Kluyveromyces lactis: one gene and its partners. The protein of the gene in region 1 purifies or fractionates together with the protein of each later gene. This does not show direct contact. Links are inferred from orthologs where the notes say so. Each region holds a gene or a part of one and is shown on either strand. Other genes may lie near its edges.

Evidence for each region.
Region 2: the proteins of SEC27 (region 1) and GLO3 purify together in Saccharomyces cerevisiae (affinity purification with mass spectrometry; 4 studies listed by BioGRID, with this or other methods). This does not show direct contact. The link is inferred for Kluyveromyces lactis from reciprocal best matches to the Saccharomyces cerevisiae genes SEC27 and GLO3.
Region 3: the proteins of SEC27 (region 1) and SEC26 purify together in Saccharomyces cerevisiae (affinity purification with mass spectrometry; 6 studies listed by BioGRID). This does not show direct contact. The link is inferred for Kluyveromyces lactis from reciprocal best matches to the Saccharomyces cerevisiae genes SEC27 and SEC26.

Annotation. Positions count from the first base shown.
Region 1 is NC_006038.1:168,401-174,255, reverse strand, and holds SEC27 (coatomer subunit beta'), read right to left. Parts: upstream 3,611-5,855; coding exon 3,593-3,610; intron 3,361-3,592; coding exon 706-3,360; downstream 1-705. Other genes in the region: MRM2 (21S rRNA (uridine2791-2'-O) methyltransferase), read left to right, coding at 1-546; KLLA0_B01936g (uncharacterized protein), read left to right, coding at 4,039-5,253; KLLA0_B01914g (transient receptor potential ion channel family protein), read right to left, coding at 5,335-5,855. UniProt on the Saccharomyces cerevisiae protein: The coatomer is a cytosolic protein complex that binds to dilysine motifs and reversibly associates with Golgi non-clathrin-coated vesicles, which further mediate biosynthetic protein transport from the ER, via the Golgi up to the trans Golgi network.
Region 2 is NC_006041.1:615,987-620,252, reverse strand, and holds GLO3 (ADP-ribosylation factor GTPase-activating protein), read right to left. Parts: upstream 2,123-4,266; coding exon 575-2,122; downstream 1-574. Other genes in the region: MRX3 (Mrx3p), read right to left, coding at 2,801-3,550. UniProt on the Saccharomyces cerevisiae protein: GTPase-activating protein for the ADP ribosylation factor (ARF) family. Involved in retrograde vesicular transport from the Golgi to the endoplasmic reticulum.
Region 3 is NC_006039.1:1,329,054-1,334,269, forward strand, and holds the start of SEC26 (coatomer subunit beta), read right to left. Parts: upstream 2,875-5,216; coding exon 1-2,874. Other genes in the region: KLLA0_C15301g (uncharacterized protein), read right to left, coding at 3,130-5,216. UniProt on the Saccharomyces cerevisiae protein: The coatomer is a cytosolic protein complex that binds to dilysine motifs and reversibly associates with Golgi non-clathrin-coated vesicles, which further mediate biosynthetic protein transport from the ER, via the Golgi up to the trans Golgi network.

The DNA.
Region 1 (5,855 bases):
CCGCCAAAGGGAGTGTATTCGTTACAGGCTAACATCCTATCGAAAAAGACTCATGAATTGATCAGACTTTGCTTTGCTCGTCATATCCAGCTAAACAAGCATGATCAATTACATAAGGATCATGGGTATCTCCAGCACATGCTAGAGGAAGAGTTAAACCATTTGAAGGAAACAGAGGAGTATAAGGAGCTATTCTCACAGACAGATATCAGTCAGAACATCGAACGATACCCGGTCGATGTTGTGCTTAGCGATATGATGGCAAACACGACAGGCATACAAAGTAAAGATCATTATATGTCGATGGACTTATGTGATGCTGCATTAATTGTAGCAATCGACCTATTAAAACCGGGAGGTTCATTCACTTGTAAATTATATGCTGGAAGCGAAGATACCCTTCTTGAAAAGAGACTTAAAAAGGTATTCAAAAAAGTCGACAGATTCAAACCCAATGCATCGAGAAATGAATCAAAAGAACTGTATTTCGTGGCTCGCGGGAAGAAAACTGATATAGATAAATTGAAGGTGTTTTTAGAGGAATAATTGTACTTGTAAATATTTTAAACAGTTTGATAGAATCTTCAAGACTCACGGATTGTAATCGTTTAGTTCATGTTAATATACTAGCATATTAATACATTATTTACGGATTATGAATTTATCGTAGTTCATTTTTTCTTTTAGGAGTTGGGGAACGTACAGTTATTCCGCCTTTGCAGCGGGTTTATCATCGTCTTTTGAACCTTGAGGCTCTTCAGATGAATCCTTGAATGCTTCTTCATCTTCATCTTCATCCTTATTTTCCTCGGTATCCAACGCTTTTTCTTCAACTGCGACATCCTCCTCTGACTTATGGTTTACAGGAGCCGCTTCTTTTATGCTCTCGCTTGGTGTATCTAAATCAAGTAAGGTATGTGTATTCGTTGATGGAAAACCTTCTGTCTTACCGACAACTCCAACTCTTTCAGCAATTGCGGCTTTACCGTCATTGATCAAAGTTTGCTTCCATACGTCTACTACAGTGTTGATGGATTCTGCCGATTCCCCGTATGTTAAACTTAATAGGGCAGCTTCTGGCACCCTATTAGATTTTAATAGCAAGTCCTTTGCTCCAGCTATGTCACCTGCTACCCAATAAGCATTGAAAGCTAGGTTGAACTTACCAGAAGTCTCAGCATTCTTTGCCAATGAAACCAACTCTTCCCTATTGTTGAATGAAGAATATAACAAGAAAAGGGATTCTAGATCATTTGCCTTTTCATAACATTGCAAAGCTAAAGTGAAATTGAATTTCTTTAAGGCAGCATCACCCAATTGAATCCATCTGTTCTCACTTTCCTGCTCGGACAATATTTCTTGCGCCAGTGATAGTCGGCCTAATTTAATAGCTAGATCAAACTTCTGCTCAGCGTCTGGTGAAATTTCTAAGGCATCTTCAAACAAATCTTGTCCCTCCAAAAATCTAGAGATCTTTAGCAAGTTTTCTTTTCCTTGAACATTAGGTAGTACGGATGATTTGGCCTCAGCTAGTTCGCCTCTGAGTACCAATGTCTCGAATTCCAAAACATCAATAGATAGTTCATAACCATAAACATGGATATCTTTGTCAGCCAAATAAACTTTATCATCTCTTGGCAAATAACCTAATAAGTACATCTGCTTATCGAAATGTGCAAGATTATAGATTTTACCACCAACAAAGTAGTTTAATCTATTTGTTGGGGTGGTGAAAATGAAGACATCACCAACCCACTTACCTGACGTGATACCCTCTGAAACTTCGTATAATACGTCAAACGCATCTTCTACACCATCTTCATCAATACTTCCAGCTGAAACCGCCTCATCGTAAACATCCTTATTGAACAACAGAGCGTAAGCATTAGCTTCTTCAGCAGAGTCTGTTTCATGGTCTTTGTTGATGATCATAACAAGCTCTCCATTATCTGACCAGATTATATCCTTAGCATCGACATCAATTCTTTTCACTAGATTACCTGATTCCCAATCAAAGAAATATACGAAGCCGTCAGCTTTGACACCTAATACTGAACCAGGGAAGATTTTTTCGACACCGTAATCAAGCGGAATTGACCAAGAAGATACTTGTTTGAAGTTCTTGTAGTAGGTCACTGCACCCGTTTCCGTGATTAACGCATAACTATTAGAATCTGGGCCCCATGCAAAGTCATGGCATTTGCCGAAAGCTTTGTTTCTCCATGCTAAAGCAGTGTACACAATGAATTCGTCATCACCAACAACAGTGACAAATCTACCATTTGGGGAATGCTTCAAACTTTGTGGGAAAACGTCGATCGACCCTAATTCTTTGCTTTGCAAAGGAAGGGCACCGCCTTCTTCTACCTCTTCATTACCTCTAATGATGGCAGAGAAGACGTCAGTGGCTGATGCTTTACCACCGCAATAAACTAACTTACCAACTGGATCCAAAGATAATTTTGGTTGATCATCACCTAGGGATAGAACTGTGAAACCATTGTCGAAACCCGATGCAATGTAATTACGTTTACCAGATGGATGAGTAGCGATACACCAACTTCTTTCAAGCCCGATGTTCAACGTTTTCTCTAGTTTGTATGTATTTGCATTCCAAATCTTGAGAGTTCCATCCTCGGAACCTGAGATAATGATAGGTAAAGTCGGATGGAATACAGCATATGACACGTTAGCCATATGTCCCTCTAAAGTAGCAACATTAGATTTTGTCTGGTAATCCCACACCTTGATGGTACCGTCATCGGAAGTGGTAATCAAATAAGGCTTATCTTGTAACGGGTAATAGTCGACATAATTCACACCTTTAGTTTCATGTGCTTTCAAGGTGAAATTTGGAACATCTTGACCAATCGACCAAACTTTGATAGTGTGATCCAAACAACCGGAGGCAAATTGGTTGGGGTCCTTTGGGTTGAATGCAACAGACATGACGAAGTGCTCATGACCGGTAAAGGTTTGTTGGCAGCCCCAATTCTTTTCCCAGTTCCATAACTTAATAGTCAGATCATCAGAACCTGTCAGAACGAATGGCTTCGTTGGATGCACAGCAATGGAACGGATATAATCAGGATGTGCTTCGAATTCGGTCACTTTTTCACCGGTGTTATAATTATAAACTCTTAATTTAAAGTCATCGGAACCAACAACAACCCAGTTCTTTCTTGCAATGAATCTACCAGCTCTCACTGGAGCATCACATAATGGAATAGATCTCACTTGCGTTTGCGTCTCGTAGTTCCATATCTCAATTCTTCCTGAGTACAAGGTAATTAAAACCCAAGGTTCCTCAGGATGAAAGTCAATGCCCTTAACCCTGTCAGTTCTGGCACTGAGCTTTTTCTAAAGACAAATAAAGTCACCATAGATGAAAAAAATGTTAGTAAAAGCTCTTTCTTTTAGTTGCTGATAAGGGCTGAAGAAATATAATCTGTTGAATCAAAACATAAAACATAAATGTATTGATACCAGAAAAACGCCTAAGATACTTAATATGCAATTGCTAACGTTCAACAGCGATTCTCCGTGATAAAAGCACCTCACAAATTACTCTAGTACACAATGTGTCACATACATTGATGTCAAGTTTCATTGCTAATTTCCTTCCGCTCTGTTGGGTCTCTACCTTCGATGTTTTCTTCAACTAACGTGTTAAAATCATGAATGGATCTTTATTATTCAAATTCCCCTTTCAAACATTTTTTTTTCAAAGCCGTTGATGGACATGGCATAGGACCGGGTAATGTTATTATGATATTGATGTCAGTGTCAGTGTCACATAAATAAAGCATCAACTTGAACCGTTTCGGCTCGAGAGTACTACGAGCTATATGACTTATTTCCCCTAATATTACATCAATCTTCTCCATTTTGTATTCAAAGCTAAAGTTGAAGAATATTACTAATTATTATATTTGTTCGACAAAGGGCGCGATTTAGGCTATTCAGCAGAACAACTGCTATTTGTCTTGATAGTCTCATTTTATTAGAAGCTACAGCAGTTGTGTGGTTTGTTATAGAATGAGTAAAGGTCAACTATGGTTGTTGATTCTCTTTTGTTCTGCTCTATTTTTTGATTTTGCTTACGGGAAAGCACTATACCCTGTTCATACAATTGATAAAGCTTGTGCGGTAGGTTTCAACTCTGCCAACATGAATATGAAGAAAACGTTTGAGATATGGAGTGGGGCAACGATTCCAGTAGATTCTTTGCCTGGAGATACAAAGCTCTTCACTGGATTTAAAGTACACAGGGTATTTTATTTTCACCAGCTATATAAAAGATCAGGGAAAGCTTTGAAGATAACTTATTGTAACGAGGGTAAAGTTGTCTTTGAAACTGAGAAGCAACTTACTAATGATGTAAAGGATTGGAACCAACCGTGGTGTTTTTTTGAATCTAAAGAACAGGAAAATCCCAATAATAGTTTGAAGAACTTTCATTGTTTAAAAATGGCCAGAAGAAAGAAGTATGCGATCCGTCCATTTGATGTTTTTATACCCTACACTTGGGTTGGCGGTTTGTTTTATTGTGATGTGGATATGGATGCCAAACAAACGATATTTCAATCTTTACAGAGTGATGGAATAAGTACATCAAATGCAATGGAATTTTGTTCTTTATCTAATTCGATACCAATTCAGCCATTGTATGCATCGACTTATTCTGATTCCTGGTCAGAAGTTATGGCTAAGAAATTAATCCCATTCATCACTCTCCTGTCAAAGCGAAAAACAAAGACATATGTTCCATACTTACAGACCCCGAATTTGTCTATGGCTCCGACTAACTTTAGTTTGAGCTCATATTACATGAATACAAGTATGTCCCAGATACCTGACTTCAAGAGCAAACTTTCCACAAAAGAACTTCTCATCGATTGGTATTCAAGAAGGAAATCCTCAAAAGAGTTGTCCTGGTTTCAAGAGATTGAAGTTTCAGAAAGATATCATTATGATAAAGAAGATAATTTCAAACTCACGTTGGCAACAGAAAAATTGAAAGATATTATTTCGCCTTTGCTTCAGCTTTCAACCATAGAACAGGACAAACTATCTTTACCTTGGAGGACATTGAATAAAGTGGCCACAACTAAGTTATGGAAAACTTTAAGTATTACGGATAAAATAATGGCAGCAAACCTAACACGAGTACTAGAAAAATGCTCAGTTTTCCTTAACTATTGGGATAATATGCACGTCTCAGATGAATTGTTTGAATATGTGCACCCGTAGTCAAAAATCGATAATACATTTGTTTAATACGATGAAAAGTTTATATAATATACGAGTTTAGAAACGAAACGGCACTCATATTTACAACTTGTAGTAGGAGTTATTGTTATGTTGGAAAATATCTGTTGAGGATGTAGCATTCATATCCGTAGTACTATTGAAATTTATGCTATCACTTATCGAAGTTTTACGATGGGGTGAAGCTGTTGGAGTATCGAGTTGTGTGTCAGTAACAAAATCAAAATCACTACTGTTATCTATTAGTCCGTTTTCTGCCTCAGACACTGCTCTTGTGTGAGTCCCTTTAATAGTTTTAACGATTGGCGTTTCTGATTCTGAGCTAGAGTCACCGGAAAGATGCGAAGCAGTGACGGTAGCTTGTCTATTACCAGCGGTTAACCTGGACGAAGTGGATTTATTTCTCCTCAATGACATTTTACGCAATATCTTATCCTTGAATGAATGTTTCCTACTAATATTAGCTTCCTCTGCTGCCTCGAGTTTTTCATCGTTAAGATTATCTGTGCTTGATTCGGTGTTTTGTTGACCCTGGGTAACTAGCATCTCCTGCCAGTCCCCATCATGTTCTTTAGCGACAGTGC
Region 2 (4,266 bases), on another chromosome or scaffold:
AACTGTACACGAGATATACCTCCGACATGACAAGATTTGTTTATGGCCCATGACTACGCGTTAATATCTTACTTCGAATCGACCTTAATCTTCTTGTCTTTCAAGAACATATCATTCTTTAAATCAACTTTCTAAATGCTACTTAATCAATAATTGTCATGATCACTGGATTGCATAATCCTTATTTCGCTACTCAAGCTACTAAATAATCATTAAATAATACGTAAAGCACAATAGACACTTGGTATTCCTTGGAAAATGTAGGTGTGTTGAAAAATCTCAAACTCTGACTACACACTGGGTGTTTGGAATGATCCTATATTTATTATTATCCAAATAATGGCGGTATTCATATTATGGTACAACGAAGAGATGTGTGACTGAAAAGGGTATCCTATTAAGGACAAGCTTTCATCTATTTGTTTATTTGTTTCTATTACAATAAAGCCATAAAGTTTTGTTCAGATTTTTTTTCATAGAAGGGAACTTATGGGGAACTTATGGCACTGATACTATTAACGTTAACTCCTTGATGAATGACTATACTTTATCTTACAATAAACTAACATAGGAATTAATTTCTCATGTAATCTCTTAGGTAGTTTCCTAGCTTTTGCGCTCCTTGTTCAACAGCGTTCTTCAACAGGTCAAATTCGTCATCAGCACCAGACGTGAACTCCATGAAGTTTCGTCCGCCAAGAGAACCGCTTCTGTTTGTTCTTGTTCCATTTTGTGGATTCAATGGTCTTCCAAATTCGTCGAACTGATCTTCGCTCTGGCCTTCGCCAAAGTATGAGGCTGAAGAAATAGATGTGGCATTACTGAAGTTCTGTCTGAGTTTTTCTTGAGCTTCTTTACTTGCCTCGTCATCGTAGCTTCCACGAGAAAACACCTGGTCTGAAGAGATACCCTTTTGTTCTCCGAATTTTTGGGCAATCTTACCTGTGTACTTTGGACCAGAGGCAGCCCTCCTTGATTCGTTAGTTTTGTTTTGTTCCTTTTCTGCATTATTGGAAGTCATACCAAACCCAAGTTTAGCCAACTTTGGTTTTGCCGCATCTTTGCTTCCAGTTAATCCTACATTGGAAGCATTGATTTGATCGAAAGTAATACCATCATTGTATCTGTTGGACCATTCGTCGTCCTCCGCGTCTTCGACATTGGTAGATGGCTTGGTTATTTTGCTGCTAGAGCTGAAACCAGATTTTTGTTGGAATGGCGCAGGAGTGGCATCGTATATGGAATTCGATAAATTATTGGAGTTAAGGGAAGTGGTGGCGAGACTTGAGGCCAATTCTTCCTCTTCCTTGGCTTCTTTTTCGAATTGATCAAACAAATCAGCATCCACCTTCTTGGCTGCAACCGGTTTCTTTGACTTACGAGAGGAGGAAAGGATGGAATGTTTCTTTGCTTGAGAAGAGCCTGCTGATCCTGTCAAAGTAGTTCTCTTAGTTGTAGTGGATCTAGCACCGTTGCTGGTTTTGTTGGCAGAACCACTTCCGGACAGAATAGAAGAACCATTCCTATTGCCAGTATTGGTTGGTGTTAAATTTCTAGGAGATGACGTCAAAGATATGTTACTTTGGTTTACAGGCTTTTCCCAGTTTGAGAAGAAATCATCAACGCTGTTGCTCTTTGAAGAACCAGAACTGCCCCCTGTGAATTCTTGTTCATCTTCTGCTGAAAATACAATTTCACCTGGATGTTGTTCAGCGTCTCTAGCCACTTTTTGATTCAAATGGCTCTGCCATTTCTTGGCTACCTGGCTTGTATATTTAGCCATCCGGTTGCTAGAAGAACCCAAATATTGTTTGCCGTTGTTCTTTAAGAAAAAATCCTTTGCCTTATCGTTACCACCAAGTTTGAACCTTCTCAAATTGTTGACAGTCCATTTGTCCAAATTACTTGACTTCACAAAAGTAATATGGGTACCCATATTTCTGTGCTCACCGGAACAATCGATGCAAAGAAGAACACCGAACGGAACTGAAGTCCAGGTAGGATTTTTGGCGCCACAGTCGAAGCATGCCCTGTTTTCAGACTTGGTTGTCAGTCTAGCAAACACTTTAGTCACGACTTCCTTGTCACAGTACACTTCTCCCGATTCGTCAATGCTAGCCATGGTTTAATTAAAATAAATCCTCTTGTAATGATAATGAAATGCTGAAATTCCGGAAAAAAAAACACCCTTGTGTTAAGTTAATAAGTTGATGCTAAGATACGGCAATAAAGATTCACGTTCCTGTAGCAGATTATCCTGGTAAATTCAGATCGTATCTCAAAAGCTAGATCAATCGCAAGAAAAAACTCTTAAGTATCAATTTTAGAAAACAGAGTACTTAATAACACGCTTTCTTACCACCTTAATAATAACTTGCGAAAAATACTTCTGTAAGTTCGGCGTGTCCCTCCCGCGCTCAAAGTGTGTACAGTAGTCTGTTGCACCTGTTATGATGTTACCAGCAGTGTAAAAAACTTAACTAAGACCAAAAACTACGTTCCTTAACGGTCCAAAATTTGAATAACCGTTCTGTCCTGTGTTAAAACCTTTTCTGTTTAGAAATTCGATCTTTCAATTTAAAGATGTCAAAGAAAATAGCAGATATGAATAGTCTGTATTATTATTACCCGGACCAAACAATACAATAGTGGGAATGGGATGATGAATTAACTGGTATTCATCATGTCCGAGCACCAGTACAATGCTAGCATATGGTATACTTAATATTGAATGTTGTAGTATGTGAACTAAATATAATATTATTGGCATATATAACGGAGACCTTAAGGTGGTATTAGATCAGAATATGTTAATCCATGAAACGTATTTAAACCATTTAGGTTCCACCAAAATACACGTTGCAGTAGCGTAGACGGTCGGTTTAGGGTTGTATATCCAATTGGGTACGCTCTTAGCCACTAAGGACTTTACGGATCCCAGTTTCGTAGAAGGATCAAGAGGTGGTGATTCCAACGTTCCTGTAATGATACATTTTCTTCCCTTGGTTTCAATGACCTGGGCGTTGAGCACAATGGTGGAATTAACTGGAACATCCTTCTGGAACGATATGTCTAGAGATGCAGTGACTCCACGCTTACTGGGAAGTGTAGGGAACCCGCAGAAACACAAAGCCTCGTCTAATAGCAATGAAAGTACACCTTTATGCACTGCATTCTTTTCGTTGCCTAAATTGTGGCCCAAATGATATATGACGTGGATCTTGTTCTGTGCATTATCTGTAAACACCACCGGATCAATTTCAAGCTTAGTTGGTCCGTAAAGCAACCCTTGACCTACGTGATAATCTCTATGAGGTACAGGGATCTTCTCCGATTGACGATGCATCATATAATCAGACGACTCTTTAAGTTTCTTGACCCATTCTGTGGCCCTAAGTTTATCCAATACATCGGTCCGTTGGTCCTGTAGCGGTCTATGTAACGTTTGTAGTGCTGATTCATCCAAATGCCATGGCTTAACGAAATATCCGAAGCCCAATGTGAACCCCGTTAAGGGTAAAATAACGTACCTGGAAATCTTCCCGCTCATAATTCGACCACTGAAAACAAAACTCTCAAACTTGGAAAACTTGCTTCGGGATATTCTCTCAAACACGCCAGGTATAATCAGTTACTTCTGGAGCAATGCTTGATGCTAACCATTTAAACCTTTCGGATAGTTCCTACCCTACCCTACCCTAAACCATTCCAGACTTTGATAATTATTGTTTTTAGACCTAGGTGGAGCGGAGTAGAGAGAGGTGAGGTGGACAAAAAAAACAACACGCACCAGAGTGTTTCTAACCACGTGATCTATCATTCCCAGTACACCGGGTAAATATCCATTAATTCGTCATCCCGCATTTCTTTTCCGGTTTTCCACTTTTCCTGTGGGGAAAATAATATTGTCCTCCCCCCACATGAATTGTTTGAAAAGCGGCGTGAATGAAAATTGCAATTGCCTAGCCCAAATCCATATCCAGTATCTGATCCGTATCCTCACTACATTCGAATTCGAGTTTTCCGCCAAAAATTCATCCCAACAGTACTAGAGATACCTCTAGTTCTGAACAATGTTTTCTAATTTCTTGATCATCTTTTTTTTCCATCTTTTTTTTTTTTTTTTCTCGTTTTTTCTTCGGAACATATTATTTTTTGCTACAAGTATACAAGTTACATACAAAACTGGCTGGGAGTGCTTTGAAAATAAATTGCTACTGGAAATAAACAAAAATATATGCTGCGGGGAAATTTGAGGCAAGGGTA
Region 3 (5,216 bases), on another chromosome or scaffold:
TCTGGTAATATTGTCACCATTGGTTAAAGCTAACCCTTGGGTCTTTGAACGAATACGGATTTCACCAACAATTTCTTGTGTGATTGGATCCTTCTCTATGCACAGGTTAGCCAAAGCGTCCTCGCCAAATGTAGATCTAGAATATAAGTTACAACTTAGGAATCTGGAATCATTGTCGCCGAGTGCCTCTTCAGGGGTTAGAACCTTCATATGTGTAACTTCCACCAACTTCTCTAAATAACCGCGTAAAGATGGTAATTTGGATTTGATACGAAGTTTATTTTCCCATTCAAACGCATTCCACATCTTACGGAAACTGTTATCATCGCAGATTGCTGGTTTCACATAATCCATTGTGTCGATATGAACGTCATTCAAGATGACATAACGAGAATCTTGACCGTGACCACCATCATATATAATGTTACCGAAAATAACACCAGTATCTGCTGAGGACACCTTTGCTGTTATCGTAATTTTGTGGAACCCATGTGGAATAACGTTGGTGCTAGGTGGGTGGTCAATAATTTTTAAGTCACCAAGAGTAGCGAATTGAACATGTAGGTTTTTCAAAGTATCCTTGGTTTGGTTCACTAATAGAACATCTAACACAACATCGAATTGGTGATTAGTGATATAACACTCGGCATAAACAGGATCGCTGAAACCAGTCAATGGGACGATCTTCTTCAATTTTGAAGTGATAGAATTAGCTTGTAGTTTGGAATATGATACAGTACCGGTGGTAGCCAATTTTATATCTTCTTCGATTGAATCGACGGGGGTATTGTGCAAGCCTGCATTCTTAAATTGTCTGAAAACGATGGATTTATCGATGGCCTCGGCGTGCTTGGCTAGGTAGTTTGATCTCTTGGCAGCATTCTTCTTCAAAGTAACATTGACTCTTGATTTGTATGATTCGTTGGTAGCTTCCAAGAATGCCAAACTCAAAAGTTCTTTCTCTGCTTGACTTTCTTCGGTAGAAATCTCGTCCATCAATACCGAAATTGCCGTCATTAGTCTTTCAGCAGAGTCCTCGTCAATCTTCTTTTCTACTAAGTTACTTTGACCTAATCTGATGATACTAACCAAAATCAACAACCCTTCGGCCTTTAGGGCGTTAGTTACAGAAGTGTTCTTGGAAATCTTTTCGAATTTCAACACCAATTTAACGATAGAGTTAGCCAACACAGAGGCAGTAAAGAAATCTCCATTTAGGACGAAACGACGTAAAGGAGGTCTTGCTTCTTTTTCCTCGTTTGAGGTGGATTTGACCTTTTCTGAGACAGATAGAGCAGATTCGGTTGCATAAGTACCATCTGGCAAAACTACCGGCCCTGTGGATACTATTGGGGCCTTTTCAGTATCGTCTTCGTCATCATTTTGAACTCTTCTCAGTTCAGATTGAACAATTGGAACTTCACCTATACTTGAACGGATGTGCTTCCAGGTATTCTGGATTTCTGCTTCGGATTGGGCATGCTCACCTAGTACCCAAAGAGCACCACGGTAAGCCTTTGCTGACTTTACTTCATGCAATGTCTCAATCAAAGTAGTTAAAATCTCAGATCTTAACTCAGGATACCTTTCAATGACCTGTTTTGTAAAGGAAATGACATCATTGGCACTTTCAGACGACAAGTTACCGATAAAATCTAGAAGCAATGAGACAACATTGGAGGAGACTTCAATAAATCTTATTGCCACTTTGTTAATGGATTTGATCAATAATTGCCTGTACTCCAGAGTTTTATCGTTACTGCTATCAGCAGTAGATTGTAATTCTTTCCTCAATAACTTAACTACACTGTCTACGTTTCTGGACGTAATCAATTCTAAGGAGATATCCAAAGCCTTAGCACGGACATCCAAATCTTGTGCGTTCAAAACACGTAGAATATCCAATGTTAGATCCTCTAAAGAGCCTGGATTCTTCTCGTTTATTTCGTTGATTTTTTCTAAAACAACCAACTTGATGTTGTTATCAGATTCTTTTGTGGCCAAATCAATTAGCTTGTTAGCTACGGTCAATAAAATAGCTTCTTTATTGGTTAGAACAGTTAAAGTAATGGCAGCTTCGTACATGACATCCGTAGAACGAGTAGAAACTAAAAGATCTTGCAACAATTCAACATACTGAGAGACCAATCCTGGAGTTTTGATAGCATCCTTTCTAATGAAACTAATGAAGGCGTTTTGTAGCAAAGCATCCAAATTTTCAATCGAAGTTAGGTTGTCCTGTAGGTAGTTCAACGCAGCTTCACGGTCCAATTCTGCAAGACCTAGGAAAGCATTTCTCTTACAAATTGGATCAGTTTCTGCAACCAAAAAGGAATCAATCACTTCACAAGCATCAGGAATCAAATGGTCGCTGACTTTGTAAATGGAAAGAACTGCTAAGATTGCATACTTACGAACGTATGCGTGTCTGTATTCCAAACAAGCACGGACAGAAGGAACCATTTGCTCTAAAAGTTCTGCTTCTTTCAATTTCGTCAAGAATCTTAAGGTATTGCCCCTGATGTATTCGTTTGGATGTTGCAAATCATGTTGGATAGCGTTGCAGACAAGAATCATTTCTTGCTTCAATTTACCTTCACGATCTAATTTTGGAACAATTTCCCAGTAAAAGTATAAAAGCTTCTTCAATTGCTTGTTCTTTGAAGGCATCACAAATCTGATGATGTGCATCAACAAATCTGGTAATGGATTACCATCTAACATGGTCACCAAGATCCTCTTCATGGTCGCGATCTTTTCAGTATCAGACCCCTTTTCCAATGCCTTTTGGAAGTCTGATACGGTATATGTGACCCCATTTGGATTGGGGTCGTACACTAACGTATACGCAGGTTGTTCGACGCCGACTGTCATACCTCAATTGACCTGTGTGTCTTGTGTAGCTTCTTTTAACTTCCTGGTTCTCGCATATGTTATTTCATAACAGAACTGTTCCAAAACAGCATGTTCTTTATTTCAGAATCTCATTTTCGTCCTGAAAATCAACATAAAACAAAGTACGGGTAACAATGAATTTGACCGGGTATTAGAAACGTTAATATATACATTGGTACAAGATACGTATAGATCAAGATATAGATGCAGCAGTAATATTGTTTGAATGATAGTTTATTCTGAATCTGGGTTGGTTATATGCAATCCTGTTCCAGCGGTACCGCGGTAGTAACCGAAATCTGCTACGTCAAGCTCGTAATCATCGTCAGCATTCGAAATGCTAGATTTATGAGATTTGGGATTAGTGTCACCTTTTTCATGTACTGCAGGAGTACATGGCTTTTGAGATTCTTCAATCAGGTTATATTTCCGTAGATCTAGTGGTAGCTGTGGACTGTACGTTACGTCTAGAGTACCGCTTCTCATTCTACCAGCATTTCTCGTGAAATAGCTGGATACAGTATCTGATCTTTTCAAGCGCGTTTGGGAAACTTCGTCATGAATTCTTTGTTTTGGGTTCTCACGCAACGGTGCCATTAAATCATCGCTATCGTATGCCTCATCACCAGGAATATCATCAAGAATATCTTGGTCTGCCTCGGAAATTTTTTCATCCTTGTTGAACAAAGTATGAAATTCCTTAGTATGATCAACTTTTGTGGACTCGGTATTGAATTTGAGGCCTGTAGTACTGTTATTTTCCTCTTCTTCTTCCTCTTCTTTTGTAGTTTCAAGTGATAATAGCTTCTGTTTGGCCTTGCCGTGCTTTATACCGACTTGTCTAGTACTTGTTCGTATTGTAACTTTGATATTTTGTGGTTGTTCAAGAGTATTCTTGTTCTTCAAAGCATAAGGTAGATCTGGAGGCAACTGTAAGGAATTTGACGTGGGGAAGTACAAGAGCCGTAGCTCTTCTATGTAGCTTGAGATGAGTCGAACATTTTTATCTGGAATCGATCCCTTGGTCAAACTTTTCTTGAATTCTGATGACGGAGTCGTGTTGATGGTGTCGTTATCAATGGACTTTGCTTCCAGTGCTGAAGATTGACGAGATTCAGTATTACTTAATAACGAAGATGCTGCACCTTTTTTAGATGAAGATAAAGAACTGCGTCTTGCCAGCGATGCGGTTATGGAATTGGTATCTGTATTCATGTAAGAATTATCATCTTCACTCGTGCTGTCATTGAAATAAAAGTTTGGTTTTTCTTCGTTAACTACTCTGAAATTCCTTCTTTCGTACTCTGATCCACCTATCATTTGATATAAATCATCTTCATCTGTACTTCCATGCTCTTGTTCTGGCTCTGGCATTTGATCATAACCCGCTTCGTATTCGTGCAGATCCGCATAATTTTCTTCGGATTCAGAGCCAGAGGTTTGGTCGGCGTTTGTAACGACAAATCGCGAGGATGTTGGAATGCCTCCTACATCACTTAAAGATGAGGCGGCAGTGCTTTGTTGGAGATCGGTAATCGCATTCTTTTTGTTAATGGACTCGTTGAAGGAAAACATTTCATCCATGGACGGTTCACCATCAGAATAGTTAACATCGGATTCACTGATATCTTCGGTGGCTTCAGATCTCCCATACAAAGGTGTTATATTCTTGGCGCTCTCAGCATCACTAACAGTATCAACTTTTGTGTCTAGTTGTCTAAGAGGTATTTCCCCTCCATCCGAGTAACCAGGAGTATTCTCAACGTCAGCGCTGGATTGGTTGATAAAATCATCCAAATGATCCACCAGTTGTTCAACCTCTGATCTTTGACGCTGATGGCCGGGCTGAAAGTTCTGTTCATCCATTTGTTGTTCCAGGTCTCTTACTTGCGGAGTTGTGAATGACTGCTGCGGTGATTTACCAGATTTTACTTCCGCAGGTGATGTAGAGGATATCGTTCCGGTTTCCATACCAGTAGATGTAACAGTGGAAACAGATGGTTCTGATTTTAGAGGTCTCCTAAAATTACTTATATCTACCGGTGGAGGCGGCCTACGTCTTCCAATGGTAGCCTGACGTATTGGTATGTTTTGTTGCAGCCTCTCCGCTTGAGGGCCTTTATTATTATCATTGGTTTTCAATTCTGATAGCGGTTCGACCTCATCTTTCAGCATTTGGGTATTATTCAGAGGCTGCTTGTGTAAGGGCTTGTGTTGCGGCAAAGCTTTAGCGCTAGAGGAGTTACGGCTATTGCTAGTTTCTTGGGATTTATTCCTTTGATCCTGGTTGGAGCCTCCGAAGAATAAAAAGGATTTCCTTT